Linked DNA regions of Oryctolagus cuniculus. The protein of the gene in region 2 purifies or fractionates together with the protein of the main gene of each other region. This does not show direct contact. Links are inferred from orthologs where the notes say so. Each region holds a gene or a part of one and is shown on either strand. Other genes may lie near its edges.

The links.
Region 1: the proteins of CTTNBP2 (region 2) and STRN3 purify together in Homo sapiens (affinity purification with mass spectrometry; 4 studies listed by BioGRID and IntAct, with this or other methods). This does not show direct contact. The link is inferred for Oryctolagus cuniculus from reciprocal best matches to the Homo sapiens genes CTTNBP2 and STRN3.

What each region holds. Positions count from the first base shown.
Region 1 is NC_091443.1:44,438,033-44,445,573, reverse strand, and holds the end of STRN3 (striatin-3), read right to left. Parts: intron 3,862-7,541; coding exon 3,775-3,861; intron 3,697-3,774; coding exon 3,527-3,696; 3' UTR 1,931-3,526; downstream 1-1,930. UniProt on the Homo sapiens protein: Calmodulin-binding scaffolding protein which is the center of the striatin-interacting phosphatase and kinase (STRIPAK) complexes.
Region 2 is NC_091434.1:153,385,408-153,392,948, reverse strand, and holds part of CTTNBP2 (cortactin-binding protein 2), read left to right. Parts: exon of another isoform or gene 1-4,502; intron 4,503-5,264; coding exon 5,265-5,468; intron 5,469-7,096; coding exon 7,097-7,196; intron 7,197-7,541. UniProt on the Homo sapiens protein: Regulates the dendritic spine distribution of CTTN/cortactin in hippocampal neurons, and thus controls dendritic spinogenesis and dendritic spine maintenance.

The DNA of each region.
Region 1 (7,541 bases), on a different chromosome or scaffold from region 2:
TGACTTGAAGAGCAGAAATCAAGTTTAAGTTACTGTAAATTTTATGAGTAAATAACTGGGATTAAGAGTTAGCAACTAAAGGGAATAGTAAAAAAAGGATTAAAGGGGCCTGTGCTGTGCCCTAGTAGGTTAAGTGACTGCCTGTGGCACTGGCATCCCATATGGGCACCAGTTCAAGTGCCAGATATCCCATTTCCAATCCAGCTCCTTGCTAATGGCCTGGGAAAGCAGTGGAGGACAGCGAGGTGCTTGGACCCCTGCACCCATATGGGAGACCAGGAGGAAGCTCTTGGCTCCTGGTTTCTGACTGGCTCAGCTCCCACCATTGAAGCCATTTGTGAATTCAACCAGTGGATGACTTTCTCCCTCTTGCTGTAATTCTGCCTCTCAAGTAAATAAATAAATCTTTAAAAAAATTTAAAAAGGTAAAAGGATTTAAAAAGACATTTTACGAAATAGTTTTGACACACCTAAATTGCAAATATGCTAGCTCATTTGTAACTTAAATTTTATTTAAGGGGGGTAGTGAGCAAGCAAGCGAGCTCTCACTTGCTGGTTTTACTCCTCGTGTCCTGAAGAAGGGAGTCAGAACAAAATCCAGGTCACCTATGGGTGTAAGAACCCAATTACTTGGGTTATTTTCACTGCTTCCCAGGGTGTGTATTAGTAGGAAGCTGGAGCCAGGAATCAAACCCAGGTACTCCAATGTGGGATGCAGATGTCTAAACTGCTGGGCTAACGGAGTAAAATACTCCCTAATTCATGACTTTTAATACATTAAGTGAGATGTTGGTCTTCAGTGGATTACTTAATAGAAAAATAACATGAATAAAACATGAAAGAGAAGAATATAATTACATACTGAGAACAAGTCAACACATTAAATTTGTATATAAAAATAACCTTAAGCCTTATGCATAAAGTATATTTAATAGTCAAATTAATCTACATAATTTACCATAAATCACAAATGGAAGCATACAAATAATATGAAAATAAATACATTCTTTTTGTATTCCTTTAGTCTCTTCCAAAAGTTTAATATTGTAGAGAAAAATACAACCAAAGTGGGTAAGAGAAAAATAAACATATATACTAATTTTTATCCATTTCAGTTCTAATACATTCCAAGAGAGGTGAAGTTTAAGCATTGCAGTGATAATCACATTTCACTATACAGTGATGCACTGGGTTGGAACAGCTGCCAGCAACAACACTAGCTTTGGAAAAGTTTCTTAAATTACTTCAAATTTTAAAAAATGATGAGAAAACTGTCTCTTTATTTTGTTCATTAGTTGAATGTTTAATTCAGAAAACAACCTGTAAAAAAATGTTTGAGAAGTTTTAATGTTTCATCATCAATGACTGAAATTGCTACTTGGATTTTCATGATAGATGACAAAATTTCTCAACGTACACACAGTGTAGCTTTTTTTTTTCTGCAGCAGGTATTCAAATAGAATTCTGCACACAATTTTTCTAGTGTTCTGAGCCCATATGAAATTTCCTTCAAAGAAAGAGGATGATTCTACCTTACAGAAGGAAAAGGTTTCAAGATAGTAATACTAAGCATTATTTATAAGGATAAGTTTAACAAATAATGTAGTTTATTCTCTGCTGAACTTTTCTATGGAAAGTTGTGCCTACAGAGGCCCACCACCACCACTAACAAATTCAGATTTAATAAAGTAACAAGATGTCTAAGAAAATTACTTAAAACTGTATCTCTATGACTTTGTGGGAGAGAGAGGGGCTGTTTTACTTCGAATTGCCTAGCTTATTTTAATAGCATATTTTTTTTAAAATCCCCAAAATGGAGTAAAATACTCAGAAAGGCATTTTTAATATTACTGTTCTAATATTACTAGAATATCAATACACAGTAAAAAGTATAAAAGAACAGTATAAAAATGAAGGACTCACTAAGAAATCATCTCCATTTCCTAGTTTAATTATGGAGAGTAAAGTATTGCACTTTATTATTCAACACAAAATGATGTAGCCAACAGTAACATACAGGTACACAATTTAATATTTATTATATGCATTTTATATACATTATTTTTCAACAGCTGTATGTTTGCTATGTGGTACAATCTTAAAAACTGGATGATTCATAGTTTGTAAAACAGAAACCTTACAAAACTCATCAAAACTTGCAAACTGATCAGAAAAGTTTTTTGGAAGACTAGAAAAAATACTTTATTGTCTTAATCATGCATCACACAAACAAAATCTTTAGTTACACCATAAAATTAAGCACACCTAAAAAAATAAAACAGGGAAAACTAGTCCAAACACAGATTTCTGTATCCTGATTCAATTATTTTGTGTCCTATTCGTAATGCAAATAAAATTTTACTCCAAATATTTTCAAACAAGATAGTTTTGTTTGGAATCATGGTGAACCAAGATACATATCTTGGGGAGAACCACCCTGGTTTGTAACTTAAACTATAAAATATTCCATTTTTAGTCTATTTTAGACTATTCAAAGAGTTCCAAAATAGATATACAGGTTCCTTTAGCACATTAATAAAAGGATATAAAGACCAACAAAAAGTGAAATAAATAATAGGCCATTAGCAAGATGGATAATCCTTGATAAATAAACTTGTAAATACAGTAAGATGTACAAAATATCACATAGTGATAGGATGCCAAGATTAGTTTTTCTTTTTAAAGAGTTCCTTTGGAGTACTAAACCCCATTGTTTCATTTTAATATACTTAATAGTCCTTGGTTTATGAAGACATTTATATGACGATGAAGGTGATTTAGCATCTTTCTGGAAGGACTTAGCTGAGCTGTATTAGGCAGAAGGAGGAAAGTTAAGTGGTTACAGGGCAGCGGGTCAGTGAGATCTGCTTTAGGGGCGTATAATGCAGACAAACTTCAATACAATCTTGAGCACTGTTGTGACAGGCTAAATATATAAAAAGACTTATAAAAACTAGAATTTTATCCAAACATTTTGTGCAACTAATGCTAAAATATTTTAAGTTAAATTTTCTTTTCTTTTTTTTTTAAAGCAAAATAAGTTTAAAAGGGAATCTGTGGCATTCAACTGATAAACAGAAGATCACTAAGAGATGAAAAACAGCTACTCTTGGAGCTCACTTCCCCCAACAAGAGCACCACATTCCTAACCCTAAGGCAGCACACAGAGTCCAAAAAAAGAGTCTTTTTGTAAGATCAGACTCCACATTGGCTTATAGACACCTTTAAAAAAAAAAAAAAAAAAAACACAAAACACAAAAAACAGAACATATGCTCAGTTCGTATCCAGTACAGGCCACAAATACTGGAGTCCTTTTTTCCTTTTGTCCCATGAAATACACTAATTACAGTTAAATTAATGAGCCTGACATTAAGATGTGATTTCCATCAACTTCGACCTGCCCCGAACAGCCTTCCCCAGGCCGATCACGTGTAGTGTCATATCAGTAACCTTTTCTGATGGCAGTGATGCAGACCCTCTTTCTGTCCAAGCAAATCTTTTGCTATGATGTGAGTTTTTGCTGATTCACACAAAAACTTTGGCAAGGGCATCAGCTCCTGCACTGGCAATATATGCTTTTGATGGATGGAAAGCAACATCATAAATTGATTCATCCAATTTCTTCCTATGAGCTGTTATTTCTTGCACACATGTCTTGCTGTCTAAGTTCCACAATCTAATAGAACAGTCATGACCTGTAAAAGAACAAGCAGTTTATTACTATCAATTCTTCTATAAAGCTTATGGGTAGAGTACAAGAAATTCAAACTTACTTCCAGACATCAAGTAGATTCCATTAGGATCTACTGCTAGACTTGTAACAGCATCCAAATGAGCTACCATAGAATGGATCATTTTACCTAAATACAACAAAGAAGAAATACTAACTTTAGGAATCCGAAGCTACAACACAGCACAGCAATACTGTTTTTATTGCAGAAAAACTATGCAACATAAAATTTACCATTCTAACCATCTGACAGTATATAATTCAGTGGCTTTTAGAACATTCACAAAATTCTATCAGCATCACCACTACTTGGCTTAGTACTTTTTCATCACCAAAAAATGCAAACTCCCTAGCCTTAAGCAATCACTCCCCGTTTCTTCACTCCTTCCAGTCCCTGGCAACCACTACTCTGCTCTCTCTATAGACTGGGCTATTCAGGTTGCTTCATATAAATGGCCTCACACAACCTGTGATAGTTTTCCGTGTCTGGCTTCTTATACTCATTTGTGTAACAAAATTTGGCAGTGTATGAAAGACACTGGAAAACATGACAACTGGGTTGCGTCAAAGGCTCAAGATCATATAAACCATATAAACCAAAGTCAAAATAAAAACAATCTTTCTCAATAAGAAATTAAAAAGTTACTTTTTATATATGGGTTAATGATAAATGTATCGCCTGAAAGAGAAGGGGATAGGAGTATGTCAAAGATATTACTCTGGATTCCTCAGACATTAACAACACTGATCTGGAAAACTAATTTAATGATTATCTTCACCGAAGATACATTTTTTTAAAAGATTTTATTTATTTATTTATTTAAGAGGTTGAGTTAAAGACAAAAGGAGGGAGGGAGGGAGGGAGGGAGGGAGGGAGGGAGACAGGGAGACAGGGAGACAGAGAGAGAGAGAGAGAGAGAGAGAGAGAGAAAGATCTTCTGTCCATTGGTTCACTCCCCAAATGGCTGCAACAACCGGAGCTGGGCCAATCCAAAGCCAGGTGTCAAGAGCTTCCACGTGCATGCAGGGGCCTAAGCACTTGGGCCATCTTCTGCTGCTTTCTCAGGCCATAGCAGAGAGCTGGATCGAAAGTGGAGCAGCTGGGACTCAAACCAGCACCACAGGGAGAGAAAGCCCACTACACCACAGCACTGGCCCCAAGATATAAATATTTTAAAGATTGATTTATTTATTTACAAGGCAGAGTAACAGAGGAGTGGGGGGGAGACACACAGAGAGATTTTCCACCTGCTGATTCACTCCCCCAATGCTTCAAACAGTAAGGGTGGGGCCAGGCCAAAATCAGAAACTTCGTTATAACTCTCCCACGTGGGTGGCAGGGACCCAAGCCTCCAAGGCATTATCCATTGCCTTCCTTAGGTGAATTAGCAAGAAGGTTTATCAGAAGTGGAGTAGCTAGGACTCAAACTAGCCCTCCAAGATGGGGTGTAGGAGCCCCAGCCGGTGGCTCAACAACCTATTGTACCACACCACCTACCCCAAATATATAAATCCTTAAAAACAAAACCTCATTATTTCAAACCACAGGTGGCTATTTCTTATTAACACTAAAATTAATAGGATAGTTTTAGAACTTTTCTGGTAGCCTGAGGAAAATTCACTTAATATACTTTCTTTAGACTGCTGAGGAAAACATGATCCTTCTATGAGTTCTGAAATCCATTTTCAATATTCCTATAAAAGAACCCAGAGTATGAAATTACTGACCACCAGGACAGTAATTTCAATTACTAAGGGTTTCATATCAAGCACCCTTAGCTTTCCCCCGAATGGTCAAATATGACAAAAGATAACATATATGATGGCATCAGCTTAATGTTTTATCTGAAAGGCAGACAGAAATATAAAGGAAACAGAGTGCTCCCATCTGCTAATTCACTCCTCAAAGGCCCACAACATCTGGAGCTGAACCAGGTTGAAGTTGGGAGCCTGGAACTCAACCTGGATTTCCCATATGGGTGGTGCGGACCCACATTCTGAACCTTCTCCTGCTGCCTCCCCTGGTGTGTGCTGAGCTGGGACCCAATAAGGCATCCACTGCTGAGTGTTAACACCCGCTTCTGATGGTAACTCTCATTCACCCAGTTTTGACTTTTCTCTTGAGAACAATCCAGTGTCTCCTAAATGTAACATGTCTTAAACCAAACCTGTCGTCTAACACTCAATGTACTCTTCTCTTCAACAGTGATGCAGTTTTCCAAGTTTAACTCTAGCACTCCTGCCTGTTCACTAAATAAATGCTCACATTAAGTCAACCCAGTGTCTACCCTTGTCCACAGAGTCACAAAGTCACTAAAAAATCTGAAAGATCTCTTCGAAACGTATTATCCCATCAAATGGACCATTTATGAAGACATACTCATGCAATACTGCACACCAAGTTGGATGGTAGGCTCCACTGGGACCACTTATGTCACAAAGCTCCTGACCCCTTCTTCATCAACAAATACCTACAACTTCTTTATAGTAACTTTCATGACTCTGCCACCTTCTTTTTTCCTCTTATACTTGAGGAAGAAAAGAGAAAACACACATAGTCACCTTTTCTCTCCTCCCCAGCACTTGAAGCCCTTTTAATTGGCTAATCCATATTGTGGGTCTCTATGAAATGGAGAGGAAATAAAGATGCATGTAAACTATGGAAGCAAATCTCATGACTCTGAATCCTCACTTGCAACTTTCAAAAAATTTTCATTCACTTGGGAGTGGGGGAGAGAGGGAGGGAGAAGGCATATGCGTGCACTAGAGAACTACTTTTCATCAGCTAGTTTACACCCCAAATGCTCACAACAGTCAGAGCTATGCCAGGCAAGAGTCCTGAATTCCATTGGGGTCTCCCACATTTGAGTGGTAGAGAACCAATTACTTGACCCACCATCTGCTGTCTCCCAGGGTGCACATTAGCAGGAAGCTGGATCAAAAGTACAAGCAGGACTTATCTCAGGCACTCCCATATGGGGTATGGGTGTCCCAAGCAGTAGTTGATTCACTGTGCCACAATGCCTATATCCTAAGCCTGCAATTGTGTCCTACTGTGCATAAATCATGTAATTTCCTTCAGTCCTTTAAGGCCATGTGTGAAACCCTTATGTACGTATTACAAGAGCAAATGGGTGGCCGGCGCTGCGGCTCACTAGGCTAATCCTCCACCTTGCGGCGCTGGCACACCGGGTTCTAGTCCCGGTCGGGGCGCCAGATTCTGTCCCGGTTGCCCCTCTTCCAGGCCAGCTCTCTGCTGTGGCCCGGGAGTGCAGTGGAGGATGGCCCAAGTGCTTGGGCCCTGCACCCCATGGGAGACCAGGAGAAGCACCTGGCTCCTGCCATTGGATCAGCGCAGCGTGCCAGCCGTGGAGGCCATTGGAGGGTGAACCAACGGCCAAAGGAAGACCTTTCTCTCTGTCTCTTTCTCACTATCCAATCTGCCTGTCAAAAAAAAAAAAAAAAAAAAAAAAGAGCAAATGGGTTACTATATGCAAACCATGTAGAACAATGTCTCATACAGAGTAAACAGTTTATCACTAATTTGTAGCTCCAAGAGGACAAGACAGGGATTTCCGTTTTGTTCACCAAGAATCAATAACATATTTCATTTCAAGAATGGCAGATACTCAGCAAGTTTTGCTGGAAGAATGACTCCATAACTAACTTAGGACCTTCTTCCTACAACTCCTGGAAAGTCTTAAATTTTATGATGCTTTTCCCCAAAATCATTCACGACCTAAGTCTTTCAAGCACAACACAGGCAACTCAAATTAGTGCCCCTTATCAAAATTTGAAAGTCATAACGTC
Region 2 (7,541 bases):
TTGTTAGAGAAGGTTCCCGTTGCAGATGCGGTTTGTGAAGTCACTGTATCTGGGACTCTGGAACAAAGAATGTCAGTTTCTCCCTTGTGCTGTGCAGAGCTGGGGGAAGCATTGCTTTTTTATTGACATGCCTGGATTAATTTGTCACAGAGCAAAGATGCCCCAAAATAACCTGAGAGTGCCAGAGTTCTGTTGAAGCTTGAGAGGTGTCTCTCCCACCATCAGATTTGAGTGCTTCGTGGAGACTGGCGATTCTAATGGCAGGCAACTTAACTTAAAGAAGGGTTGAATAGTGCTGACTTTAAAACTTAGAGGGGAGAGTAGGAACTGGAAAATACCCACTTGATTTGCTTACTCTCAGGTGATTTGAACAGCACATCAGGACTGACCTATAGCATGGACTTTGAAATTAAGTCAGATCTCCCTTGGAATCCAGGCTGTGCCACTTACAACTGCATTGCTGGTGATTTTTCTGCAACTGAGCAAGTTTCCACTTTCTTACTATGGAGCTTGAGCTGCTTTTATGTGGAGGGTGGCTGTTAGGAGGGTCAAATGCTGTAACACATCAGTGAGCGTGGTATTGAGCTTGGAATGACCCAGGCAATCAGTCAATAGAGATGACAGTACTGCTTTGAGGATACCGCTTTGCTTTCAGCATTTTTGAGAATTTGCTTTAGAATTGACTTTAGATGTCTTCATAAGTAGTCAACAATCCATTTTTTTTGTCTAGATGGTATTACTGAGCTGAACAACCTTTATTTTGGCCTAAAATAATATTGTATATTTCTCTCAAGTTAAATCCACCTTCATAAGAGGAGTTGTTTGCTACTGCTCATGAGAATAAGAGCACGTACTATAAGATTGTTAGACAATCACAGAATAGAAATTCTAAAAATGTTTGGAGCAGTGGCAGTGCTAATGACAGAGCTGCATTGTTTACAAAATAGAGAATACTTTTGAGGATGTATGTTTTGGGAGTCTTTAAAAATGCAAACTTATTTTTGCTTTGATGTCTTGAGGCTTTGTCAGTTGTTGCTGTGGTCATTTCTGTGGCTCCAGGTCCAACTGCCCCTTGGGTTCAGCAGAGCAGGATCCGTGACTGACAAGCCAGTTTGTCAAGAGGATTTTCAGTTCACCTTTAAAGACAAAGAATTTTAACCTGATATCTATATTCATCAGAATGATCTGCCTAGGATATCATTGAACTTTGGATAAATAAACCCTGGGTGCTATGAAAATAATGCCCTTGAAATTGGTTCCTTTTCTTCTATTCTCTGATTTTCACATTTGGCCAAAGTGTTCTCAAAATTGCTTGGTACTTACCTCTGGTGAATTGACAGGTGTCCATGGATGTCCTTCGATTGTAAGATCTGGCTTCTTAGGGAGGTGCGGAAGCACTGGAGACTTTAGTCCTTCAGTAAGAGTTTACGAACACCTCATCTGTTCAGAGAATGGAAATTTTTTTACACATTGGGGGTACACAGCTGTATAACAGCCATGGAAAGTTCACGTCAGTCTGAACTTTCCAGATGAGGCACCAGATTCCAAGTCTGTTTTCCATTTAGATTGCCCTTGTCTTTACTACCATTCCTGTTGCAACTGGGAAGCACCAGTGCTCCCTCCATCCTGCCCCTGGACCTGTCTGTGCCTGGGTGAGCTTGTGCTCCCCAAGGGTGTAAGCCCACTGGAGGTATTAACCTAAACAGCCACTGAGGTCATTGTGGCTGTTATGAGCAGGGTGTGGGGAGAGGGCACATCTCCCAAACACCTGGCAGATGTCTGTTTCCATTTTCCTGATCAAAGGAGTACTGAATTCAGTGTAAGAAAGAAGATTCATCAATTTCCTCCCCCTGGAGAACTAATTGTCTCCCTGAGCTATAATTAGCTTTTCTACCTAAAAGTGAAAGCATTGAACCAAAAAATTTACTATTCTTTCCAAACCAAAAGCTGTCTTAAAGTTGGCTGATTTTTCAAACAACACAACTACTAGATCCCGTGATCTTTCCAACTCTAGGGTTCTGTGTGTCTGTACCAGCCAACATCTGTAACGGTTGTCTTAAGTGGATCCACGAGGAGCATTGGAATGAAGTTTACTGAATCATGTCGTGAATCACCCTAACTCTTTGGGCAACATCTATGGCCAAATGTTAAAATTTTAAATAATGTCTTAAATTCAGAATGACTTAGAATTTCTTATTCTTAACTAAACTAGTCAAATGAGCACATTTCAGCTAGAAATGACAGCAGGCAGCTGAGTTTCCATACCCTTGGAATTTTTTCTTCTGTTTTATTATTATTTGACACATTTGATTGAATTTGCTTCGGACACTTTCACTTCATTAAACATGTATTTTTAAAATTATTTGCTATGTAAGATTGGCTTAAAGGCTAAACGAGAAAATAAGAATGACCTGGGCTATGACATTAACCTTCTTCACCCTCTGAAGCTGATGCCAGAAGCTGTTTGCAAGTACTCTTCCATGCCATTGCATGCCCTGTCCATTCCTCCCCTCCTGGCATGCTCTGCAAATGCTCACTCTTACTAATGTTTGCATGCCACGTGGCGAGGCTGAGTGACCTTCCTCTCACATCACTAGGGTAGCTGTTTCAATATAGGTCTGCTCTGCCATTACAGGACCAGTTATCTATATATTACCATTTTGATCATGGATGGGATTTCAGATGAACAGTACAGTCTCATAATGAAGTTTTTCGTTTTTCCCCATATTGATAGCAGGACTCATAAAACTAAGCTTTTCTGTGCTAGAGAAAATTGAAAATTATAGTGAAGATTTAAAATTCATGAATACACAAGAAATATAAAACACTTTTCTTTTATAAAGATTTTTAAAATATATTTTAGTCCTGGCATGTCATCTTCTGTACTTTTGTGTAATAGAAGAATCTCAGACTCTTCACTGATTGAAAGATTGAGAAACATTGTGAATAGACTATTTTATATTTCAGATAAGAACACTTAAAATAAGGTTTCCCAGGAAGTTTTACCATCATTATGTATTTCCATATAAAGCAGTTGAAAATACATTTAAACTGTTCTCTGCAAAAAACCCAGAATTGTGAATAAAGAAAGATGTAAATAAAACCCAAAAGAAGAGCAAACTTTTATATATAAATGTTGGTATTCATAAGAGAATACCAATAACCAAAAACCTTGTACAAGATCAAAAGTCTGAAAGAATGATTGAGTGTGTGTGTGTGAGTGCTGTGTGTGTGTGTGAGTGTGAGTGTGAGAGAGAGAGAGAGAGAGAGAGAGAGAAGGGGGAGAGAGAGGGGGAGAGCATGAGAGCACGTGCCATACTCCTCAGATCCACAGGACCATCGTGCGATGCCTTCCTATTGCCTGTTTGCTTTGCAGTCAAGGTTTCATACCTTGGTGTTTATAATTTCTCTGTTCATCCATTTCTAACAAGTACTGATTTAATTTTTGTGGGCCTGTTTTTTTTGTTTGTTTGTTTTTAAGAAAATACAAAAGGTAAAATGTACCAGAGAGGAGCCTTCTTGTAAGTATGAAGTAAAAGTATTACTTTTGTAAGAAGAGCTAATGAATATCAGTGGGAAAATATCATGCAGTTTAGATTAAATATTGAAATGTTTGGGCATTTTAATTTTGTATGTCTCTACAATACTAAGAGGTTAATAATAATTTATTTGTGAACCCAGATAATTGATTATGGAGATATGATATCTAGCTTTTAATAAGCAGTAAAGTTGAACTTGTATAAATGGTTTTATTTTGTTTTTCATAAAGAATTTTAAAACTCCTGAGAAATTAAGTTGATAAGTACCTTTTAATATTTATTAAGATTATTTAAGGTCAATAATTTAGGATTCATTCATAAGCACTGGATATTCACACATGATAATGCCCAGAATATTGTCCTAATACCACTGTGCAGGAGATATAAACTATCCATAATGTGGGCCTTTCTAAAGGGAATGTTAGCATTTAGATGTGGAAAGGGTGACCAAAAGAATGAATATTTATACATATGCATAACAAAATTACGGAGAGGTGCTGAGGCTCCAATCAGGGCTGGGGAACTTATTTTCTGCCAGGGGCCATTTGGTTATTTAGAACATTGTTCCAGGGCAGCACACAATGATCAACTGAAAAATCAGCCTGCTATTGAATTTCGAGTCCCACCTGTGGTTCCCTTGGCAGGACCAGACCAAATGATTTCATGGGCCATATATGGCCTGTGGACCAGACATCCCCCACCCCTGCTTGGAATAAAGTAAAATGACTTCTTAAACGTTCATTGTATTTCAGCCTAAAATACACAAAATCCAATATATCACATTAAATAAACATTTTTACTTTACTGTTTTTACAGCCTTTTGATCAAGGAAGAATTCAGAAAATTTTCCATGCTATATACAGCCGACTTCACACACTTACCAGATTCCCTTCTAAAGCTGCTAAATACTGATGAGAAATCTCTAACTATGATAACTCTTACGATCTTTGTTGAAACTGTATGGTAGAGTGTCCTGTTTTGTTGACTGATTAAAAGTTTGTTAGTCATGTTGTAAAGATGGCCAGGTGATTTTACAGTCTTCAAAATTGGGTATGGACTATGTGTACCAGTGTATTCTGAATCTACTTATTAAGTGTCGTATTTCTACTAGTTCTTGATACCAGAGAATGGTTGGCCCCGTTATTATTAGTCCCAAATAAGGGAATTCAAGGGATGTAAACAGATTTTTTGACAGTGATTGGACTATATTCATTTATGTGAGATTATTAAGTACTTTAAGGGCCATCACTGAAAAAGGAGAATCTCTATTGCTTACAACTATTTCTGTCTTTTACCTGAAAATGCCAGTTTGCTTTTGCAAATCTATATTGACATTGAGGAAACTTTTACATAATGAAAAGGCTCAAATTGTTTTGAGATCTTGAAGGGGAATTAGACCTTTAAAATGAGACAGCCATCTCAGTTTCCTAAAACCAGTCACCACTTTAACACTGACCTGTACAAAACCGATGACTAAAATAACCTGTCACTGTGTATGCATTAATTTAATTAGCAATGGATGTAAGCTCTGGAATAACAGGACAAATTCATCCTAAGTACATATTAACAGATTGAACCTTCTAGAAAACACATAATCCTCTAGGGATACGTGTCCATCTGTGTGTGGGTATATGTGTGTGTGCGTGTGCAATTCAGAAAGGAACAGGTAATAGCTGTCTCTTGTCCTTGCTCCTACTCTCTAACGAGAGTCACTTTAACCTACAGGCTGGTCACCCTCCCTAACCCCTTTGCTAATGAGTGGTGGTCCTGCCCCCCTGGCTGGCAGGCCCACCCTTCTTCAGCAAGCTGCTGCCCAGGGAAATGTCACTTTATTATCAATGCTGCTTAATGAAGAAGGACTGGACACTAATTACTCCTGTGAAGATGGCCATTCTGCCTTGTATTCTGCTGCTACGAATGGACATGCAGGTAAAACCAGCAGGCTCTCGCCTCTTCATCTCTATACGCAGAAGGATGGGCAGGCAAAGCCCTCGCTACCATTGTCAGGAACTAACATAAATTTGGATTTCAGTATTATCTTAGTTGTGGAGAAATTCTTTTTTAAGGTATTTATTTATTTGAAAGTCAGAGTGATGGGGGACTGTGGGTGGGAAAAGTTTGAGAGAGAAAGATTTTCCATCTTCTAGCTTGCTCTCCAAAAGGCTGCAACAACTTGAGCTAGGGCAGGACAAAGCCAGGAGTCAGAAGCTCCTTTTGGGTGCCCAAATGGGTGGCAGCAGCACAAGTACATGGGCCATCTTTGCCTGCTGTCCCAGGTGCAGCAGCAGGGAGCTAATTCAGATGTGAAGGTGCCAGCATTGCAAACCACAGTTTAATCCACTGCACCAAAATACCAGCCCTCATAGTGGAGAATTTATTCATGACAGTCAAAGTTTTTCTAAACATTAGAAAATTCCAATTGTATACTTCCTTACAGTAACATCTTATTGCAGCTAGCAAAACATAATAATTATTTTATGCACAATGAAATGTATTGTGCACGTAGAAACTTAAAGCCTAGCAACTGCAAAATACATTTTTGAATGAAGCCCTCCATCTGCAATCACTCGGGTTGGACAAAATAGCCCTCATTTGTCTAATAGAAATACCTGATGGGGGAAAAGTCAAAGCATCAGTGCTTAGCACATTCTCCTGTGAGGGGAGATTTTAGTCCTTAGAGAACGTCGTTGGTCTGAAATTCTATAGTTGGAACAATTTGGATTTTTTAAGAGAACCAAGAAGTTATGCATCTATAAATGATATATTCAGGAAGACTAGGAATTATTCATTAAAATGCAAATCCTAAAGTTCCATGCACTGGAACATATGGTAGTAAAGAAAAATAGGTTTTCGTCTGCAAAGTCAGATAGCACTGCATATGTGAGCCATGTGATTGTTGATTAATTCAGATAGAAAGAAGATTCTAGTGAGCTTAGTGAATTCATTATTTTTAAAGTTTTTTTAAACTGTTCCTGCCAAAGCACTGCAGGATGCAGAAATTAAATCCAGTAATTAGCACAAGCAATGTTGTTTCTAGGTGATATTTTTGCCTGACTTCAATGATTTTCTATGGGCTTTCCTTTAGCTTCGTTTATGGAGGTATATACAGGAAGGGAAACATAAAAAAAGCATTGAATGATGAAGCTAGACGTTCTGAAGTAATACTTTAACTATGTAATTACAAAGAATGGTATTTCAATTTGGTAAATGGGCTTGTTTCTCTGTCCAAAAACATTTTCTGGGTAGGCTGATGGAAAAAATCTGGTAAAGCATTTTCTGGCACATGACATTCCTTTTTCTCATCAGCAACTCCTCCCAAAGCACTGAGAAAAGTCATGTCTGAGTTGGTGAGTCTGGGCTGTTAGTCTTTGGGAGTGGAAGCTACCCGCCCTGTGTAATAGTCTGTGGCATCTCCCAGGTGCCACGATGGGATGGTCAGATGAACTGAGCAGGGGAGAGGCCCTCTGGGTTTAGAACCTATGTGCAGCTTGCGTACAACTTGGTCCATTCTAACTCTGAATGGGAAAATGAAATGACTTTGCATTGAAAATCCATAGACTGTGTGAGATTGCTGCTGAATGCAGAAGCCCAAGTCAATGCTGCTGAGAAGAACGGCTTCACACCCTTGTGTGCCGCAGCTGCTCAGGGACATTTCGAGTAAGTGGTGTTCCTCATTGTGTGTGTGTGTGTGTGTTTTGTATTTTATGTACATTTTTAGTTCCAGCTAAAGATGTAAACTAGAGCATCAAATCCATGGAGAAGTTCACAAAACATGTTTTGAGGATTGAAACACAAAATTGGATCCTAAATTTGTTTTTCTTAATAGTGAAGTAGTTATATATGAGGGAAGTGGAGAAGAGAAATGAGCTGCATCCACCAGCCCACGAGAGAACTTACTTCTGATTAAGATGACCTGGAGCCTCTCAGCACACGGATCAGGAGATCAGAGCCTGTTGAGAACTTTCCTGTTCCCTCTTCTCCACCACTCTAATCCAGAAAAAA